2 linked regions of the Xenopus tropicalis genome follow. The protein of the gene in region 1 interacts with the protein of each later gene in a pairwise test. Links are inferred from orthologs where the notes say so. Each region holds a gene or a part of one and is shown on either strand. Other genes may lie near its edges.

Evidence for each region.
Region 2: the proteins of abl1 (region 1) and msh5 interact in binary tests that used the Homo sapiens proteins (3 or more experiments, as listed by UniProt). The link is inferred for Xenopus tropicalis from reciprocal best matches to the Homo sapiens genes ABL1 and MSH5.

Annotation. Positions count from the first base shown.
Region 1 is NC_030684.2:12,813,228-12,817,054, reverse strand, and holds part of abl1 (tyrosine-protein kinase ABL1), read left to right. Parts: intron 1-530; coding exon 531-704; intron 705-3,827. UniProt on the Homo sapiens protein: Non-receptor tyrosine-protein kinase that plays a role in many key processes linked to cell growth and survival such as cytoskeleton remodeling in response to extracellular stimuli, cell motility and adhesion, receptor endocytosis, autophagy, DNA damage response and apoptosis.
Region 2 is NC_030684.2:74,931,594-74,935,420, forward strand, and holds part of msh5 (mutS protein homolog 5), read right to left. Parts: coding exon 3,754-3,827; intron 2,538-3,753; coding exon 2,411-2,537; intron 512-2,410; coding exon 362-511; intron 1-361.

The sequences.
Region 1 (3,827 bases):
TGTACCAGTGCAGGAATGGCTGCCCCCGGGGCTACACAGCGGGGTATTTATATAAACTATAGTAGGGTTTCTGTAGCAAACACCCCAGCTGTACCAGTGCAGGAATGGCTGCCCCGGGGCTACACAGCTGGGTATTTATATAAACTATAGTAGTATTTCTGTAGCAAACACCCCAGTTGTACCAGTGCAGGGCAACAGTACATTATATTTGAATTTACTTTAAACAACTTTGGTGTTACTGGTTTTTTAATACAACTCTGTTATAGATAGGGCAGTTCCAAGTGGGTCATGTGTCGGCATTGGCTTCCGACTGCCCCCTTACCCCGCACGCCGGCCCATACCATAAACAGCGCATCTGTTATCCTATTCAGCAGTTCGGCTCCTGAAAAACAAACCGGTTGCACCGGGGCCGTAAAACCAGTGCACACACAGATGGCTAGCCGTTTATACATGGAATTTTAACACTTTTTCCCCTCTTCTCTCTCTCTTTATTCTCCCCCTCCTGCTCCATCTCCTGGCTTGCTCCCCAGAAGCCTTGCAGAGACCGACAGTTTCCGACATCGAGCCTCAAGGTCTGAGCGAAGCTGCGCGTTGGAATTCCAAGGAGAATCTTCTGTCCGGGCCAAGTGAAAATGACCCCAACCTCTTTGTTGCACTGTATGACTTTGTGGCCAGTGGGGACAACACTCTCAGCATCACCAAAGGTAAGAACTACCTGCATGTGTATGGGGGGGGGGGTCTGTTCATGCTGTGCTCACTGCCAGCCAATCTGCTTGTGGGCACAACATTGTCTGAATTGACAAATAATGAAAAACACTGTGAATTGTTGATGATTTTGCCTTTAAGAATGATATAGATAGGGTCTTCATTTTGTTTTCTTTTATGTTTTGCTCAGTAGCTCTCCAGTTTTGATTTTCAGCAGCTATCTGGTTGCTAGGGTCCAGTTTACCATAGCAACCAGGCAGTGGAGGTGAATGAGAAGCTGGAAGATAAATAGTAGAATGCTGAAAAGAACGATAATGAACAATGAAACTGTAGTACACTGGGAAAAATCCAGTTGGGCCCTAGCTTTCATTGGTCCCCCTGCCAGTCTAGATCTGCGGGGCAGGGGATTGGTTTGTGGCAACCATAAGTGCAGGTATGGTGGGGGGTGATGGGCTCTTGGGTCCTAGTGGGCCCCAAACACCACAGTCCAACTCTAAAGTGTTCTAACTGCCCCCCTTTTACAGGAGACCCAAATAAAATGGATTGATCAACTTTTTGACCCCCCCCATTTTTAATTTTTTGGGGCAGGCGGGATTATGGGGACCAAATTAAAATGAGATTGTGGGTTCCTGATAGTTTAAAGAGGATCTAAACCCAAAAATGAACTCATGTAACGTTCTTCAGAGTTTTCCTCTATGTGCTTAACTGTTCACATGAACTTACTGGTTTTAGTGGTTTTGAACAGTTTTATAATGCCAATATCAGACTTTCAGCTTAACCTTTAGTTTGACATAGACATTGATATTCTGAGACAATTTGCAATTTGTTCTTTTTTGTGTTTTTTTCAGTTATTTAGCTTTTTGTTCAGCAGCTCTCCAGTGGAATTTCAGCAGCTATCTGGTTGCTAAGGTCTTGTTTACCTTAGAAACTAGGCAGTGGAATATGAATAGGAGAGGGACTGAATAAAAAATATAAGGATTTAAAAGTAAGAATAATACAGGAATGGGATCCATTATGGCATTGTGCAAAACGATCCTATGGGTTTATTTGATATTTAAATAATTATTTAGGTGACTTAAGGTATGGAGATCCAAATTACAGAAAGATCCCTTATCCAAAAAACCCCAGGTCCTGGGGCAGGAAGAGGAAATCAGAAACTATTAGCAAAAAATAAAAAAAACTATTGCTCTGTGAGGCTACAGTTTTATTGTTATTGTTATTTTTTGCAACTTTCTTTTTTTATTCGTTCCCCCTCCTATTAATATACCAGTCTCTCATCCAAACCATTCCCTGGTTGCTAAGGTAACTTGGACCCTGGCAACCAAATAGCTGCTGAAACTCCAAACTGGAGAGCTGCTGAACTGAAAATGAAATAACTAAAAAAACTACAAATAATAAAAAATGAAGACCAATTGCAAATTGTCTCGGAATATATCGCTCTACATCATACTGAAAGTGAATTTAAGTTGAAAGACTGGGGAGCCAGTGTCTAGGGCCCTCCCTGCACTCCTTTCCCATGATCCTTTGTTCAGCCTTGGGGAAGGAAGAGTACAGGTTGATCATTATTAGCAACATAGATGCTGAGGTTGAAAAAATGCCCCACTAAGGACCTTGCTGATACTGAGCCAGAGAAAGGCAAATATAAAATATTAGCTTTCGGGAAAATAAAATCCATCTTTTAGCTGACAGCAACTTAATGGGAGTTTTCTTATTTTTTGGTCTGGGCATTGGGCGCTGATGTAGGACTTTGTTATTTACACTGAAATGTCACCAAATCTGTCTTGTGATTCCGGAATGGGAAACCTTTGGCTCTGCTTTATAAGCTTGCCAACAGCTAGAGCCCTGGCCGCCCCCCATCCCTCTCCTTGTCCTGCATTGTCTTTCTGTGTTATAATCAATGCTTCCTGATGATCCCTATTGTCTTAGGGGCCGGCAACCTGGGTGCCCAGCTACATTCCCCCTCGTAATAAGGCAGTAATAGGTACCAGTGCAGGAACGGCTGCCCCCGGGGCTACACAGCGGGGTATTATATAAACTATAGTAGGGTTTCTGTAGCAAACACCCCAGCTGTACCAGTGCAGGAATGGCTGCCCCCGGGGCTACACAGCAGGGTATTTATATAAACTATAGTAGTGTTTCTGTAGCAAACACCCCAGCTGTACCAGTGCAGGAATGGCTGCCCCCGGGGCTACACAGCGGGGTATTTATATAAACTATAGTAGGGTTTCTGTAGCAAACACCCCAGCTGTACCAGTGCAGGAATGGCTGCCCCCGGGGCTACACAGCAGGGTATTTATATACACTATAGTAGGGTTTCTGTAGCAAACACCCCAGCTGTACCAGTGCAGGAATGGCTGCCCCCGGGGCTACACAGCGGGGTATTTATATAAACTATAGTAGTGTTCCTGAAGCAAACATGCTCCCATGTCAATCCCCATCACAGTTAGAAGTATAGCAGCATTGTGAGTCCAGCCTATCAGAATCCTGCCTGCTTTCCATCAACATGTGTCATGGTTCGACCCAAGAGGGGTACCTATAGAAAACCTAAGAAACAATTAGGGTTTACCTAGCCATAGTGGCACATTCCTCTTAAAATCTAGAATGTGCCACTATCCAAACCTGGACTTGAATTCCAAAATAGGACCTGGCATTCCCAGTACCCAGAGGCACAAACAGCCCCCCCCACCAGCAAAATAAATAACAACTGTCTATGGCACCGTACAGCAGCCCCTCTGGCATTTGCCTGAACCCACAGATTGCCAGTCCGGGTCTACCACTATCCCCTTAAATACCCCCACCAACACCACTGGTCTTTGAGCTTTTGTTAACCCCTTGCATGCTGAGTGCCTTTTGATCCTGCCACATGTGGCCAGACAGCATTGGCAATCAGATCCTTGGCAGACGGTGCCATAGATTTTACAAGCTGCTAACCACAGCGTAGCCCTAATTTAAGGACAACTGTTGGCTCTTGTTAAGTAACATCCGCAGGATCTCCAGCCCTTGTTAAACCACATCCCCCTTATAAAGAAACTTCTTTCCTGTAGTACTGGGATTTGCAGCTTATCAGCGGCTGGAGGGCCGCTCTTTACTTGCCCTTTACTCAAGCTCCAAGTGCTATTTAT
Region 2 (3,827 bases), about 62 Mb from region 1:
GAGAGATAGGACTGCCTTTCCAGCCAGTTATTTTGAGAGTGAGCTCTTATACATCTTCTAGGCAAAAGGACCAACCTCCGAAACAATCTCCTGCAATAGGAGAGAATGAAGAGACACTGATTGCCGAAAGGGGGCAGTGAAGAGAAACGTGATTATTTCCACGCCCATACATCATTTTTTATTAATTTATATATTTAAAAAGTTTCTTATTTAACTGAGAAAATCTTATATTAAATTTTCATTTTTACAATAGATCCCCTTTTCTTTTTGATTTGTAGCTTGCATCATGTTTTCTGGAAACACATAGTGCAGCAAGATCATAGAGGGTTGTAAGCCAAGGGTTTAAACAGATTTTATATACCTGATTTAAATCTATCATGAAAGTAGATAGCCCAAGGGACACAGACTCAAGACTCTGAATACGGGTAAAGATGCCATCAACTGGTCCAATTTCAGCCTCTGCAGCTGGAACAAAACTTCCAATCATAGACATGAAGACTATGAGTCCAACCTATGAAACATAATTTTAAGTAGGAAATATATGACAGCTAAATAACCGTAGTAAAAACAGGGCTGATGGCTATGGGAAAAGGAACAAATTCAGAAAATATGAAGGGAGATGAATAAGGCAATATAGCAAAGCAGATTCATTTTCTAACACCAAATGATAAAAAATATTTTTTTTATGTATTTACTTATGGTTGGTATCAATTCATCTCCATGGCAAAACATAATAAAACAGCCTCCAGTCAAATATTATAAGCACAAAATTGTGAATTATTTGTTAAAAGTGCCACCCTGTTTCTAGAGAGAATGCCCGCCCAATAATATTACAAGGCAACAACATGAAAATTTCCAGCGTATATCCAAGTTAGTAATTAAATGTTTTCCACAAATCTCATCCTATCTGACTTGAAAGCTGGACTTGCAGGAGTATCTAGAAAGCAAACAGTCATTCCTATTTAATCAAAAGTAAAAGAATTGCTAGGTTTATGAGTCTCTGTATAGATTATAGAATTCTGTTTTTCCCTGCAGCTTGCAAAAATGTGAAAGCAAAGTTTAAGTCATTCACTCTTTTATGATGCTGATCACAAATATATGATGACAAAGATAGTTTTCTATATTCTTTATTCCTCTAAAGATATATTTCCCCATTAAGTTCTATAAATAAAGATGACATGATTAATAAATAATAATAATAATAATAATATGAAAACATGGTACCCCCTAGACAGACAGTGTATGCTAATTTGTAGCACAGAGCAAAGAGGTCTGACACACATCCCACTGATGTAACTTCAACCAAACAATTTAATGTTATTATCAACACATTCATATTTTCAGTTCAAAAGAAGCTGATGTCAGAGCCTTTGGGACAACAGGAAAATTTTATTTGGGCAAGATGTTTGTACTGGGTTTATATATTGTAATTTTAATATTTTATTGATCCGCTAGTTTCTCTTCGATATGCTCTGCCTGCCATGCCATTAAGGCAAGATCTCAGCCCTGTCCTTACCAGGGTATGACCAAGGTGCAGGCCAGGGTGCAAAGTGCAAATACTATGGTGTATAGAGGCCATTTTTATGCACTTAGCAATCTGTCATTAACTTAATGAATGACCCTCTTATGACTGTAGTCATTCAGATTGTAAACTATGTAGAACTGATCCAATATTATTAGTATATAAAGTGAAAATTACATTACTGTGTAATCCTGACATACATTCTGAGCAACCTTTCCATTTGAGTTGCAGCTGCATGTGATCATTCAGAGCCGTAATTATTAGTAGGGGAATTGCAAAAGCATCAACTCATACTACTTTCTGTTTGTTAGCTTTTTAGACAGTGTAATTTCTTATACGCTAATATTTTGCTCTCAACAGGTGCCTCATGCCCAACAGTAAGGCTATGAATGCAGAAATACCAAGTGCATGGTGCTGCTGAAAATTTTACAAAATCAATGCCTGTCTCAGTCTCACAATCTCTGAAACAGTAGCTGTTCTTCAGGGTTTCACTGCATACCCTGTGTAATTTTACCACTGCAAGTGAGATTTGCTTCTGAAGGCTCTGGTTGGTTTGCTGCTGCCCCCTACTGAATTGAATAACATTCACAAATTGTGAATAAATATATGCAATTTAATAATCATGCATTAGTGTACCCAAGACATAGATTGCACTAAGACTGAATAAAAATATTATTTATTTTAAATAAAGCAAAAAGATAAGAAAACAAAATCCTTAATGGTGGCAAGCCGGCTATTTTCCTGTACTTTATTAACATCAAAGAACTAAAGCAAAGATTGGGGTTTGTACTATACAAAGATGACTTTTTGATGTTTTTCCTCTTTCTATATCCTTATTTTTTTCATCACTTCCTTTGTTCAGTATTTCACAGTCTCTTGCCATTTTACCTGTTTTAGATACACACTCTTCCCACAAGAGTTTGGTCCAGTTATTATCTTGATTCTTTTCTCATTCTGCTTGCTGAGAGTTGAATTTGGAACAAAAGTTCCAGAGCAAAATACCATGAGAGGATGTCTATAAAAGATAAGAGGCACTGGGTGGGAAGAGAGAAGAGGCAGACAATAACATTTGGATTTGAGACTTTTTGATCAGCATAATAGGGTTGTTTTAGTTCTTACATTAAAGCAGGGCCAGAACTAGGGTTAGGCAGAAGAGGCACGTGCCTAAGGCTCAACAGTGTGGGGGTGCCTGCCTACCCTTAGTTCAGGCCCTCAAGTCCTGCACACTCTCCCTGTGCGCCATGCTTCGCCCCCAAACGACTGCTCATCACTCTGGCTCCCCCTTCTTTACTAAGCACTTTAGAAATTTACATCAACTTTCTATTTTTAGCAGATATTTGCACTTTTAGACTGCTAATACCTTGGCTCAAGAGAGAATCAGCAACCCTAGGGTTAACCGAATACAAGAAGGGCATAGACAATTAGGGTCGCAATGACTGCATCCAGTCTGTCTTTTATGTCAGTCAATGGTAGAAATCCTTCAGACTGTCAGCAGAAGGGTGCTGCTGAATGCCAAAAGACTCATGATCTAACTGATCTGAGAAATGGCAACTTAGTTAACAGGCCTCTCCTTGGCAAAGTGTACCCAATCAACCCCTTAACTAAGGCTTCCACTATGGGTTTTTTTATAGTGCTCAATATCTCACTTTAATCAAATTACTCAATATAAAAGGGGAGAGGGAGTAGTTTTAGGCAAAAACCAAACCATTTCCCAATGATTCTTTATAATGGAAAATATTTTTTTAAATGAAAAGAATAAGCAGGATTCATTTTCAATAAAGGTCTTTTTTTGCTCATGTATAACAAAGGTGTATAAAACTGCAACACATTGTAATATAACCTGGGACACATTGGTACCCAATCTAATTGATGCATGGAACAGATGTGCATGCATCTTACATAACCTTTATGTAACTTTTATGTCACTGCAATTATGATCTATAGTCTAGCTTCAAAATCTTTGTTTCCACTGAGTATAACAATATAAACCCAGGTGCTGTGGAAGATCATTTTTAGTGGGGTAGGCAGAAGAAAAGTTTTGCTGCTGTGTGCAGTTTTTCTTGCCTCTCACTTGCCTGCCCACCTAAAAATTAAAAACTGGGGCAGATAATTCTAGGAGGGCCACGCCCCCAATGACCCCCTGTTCTAATGCCTATGGAAAAACTACAAATTTAATTTGACTGATTTGACAAACATGAAGAAAACTTGAACAAGTATTACATATTACATACCTCCCCTCCTTGATGTAGATGGAGTTGCCCATGGTGTATCGGGGACGTGTGTATCCATTCTCACGAGCAATGAC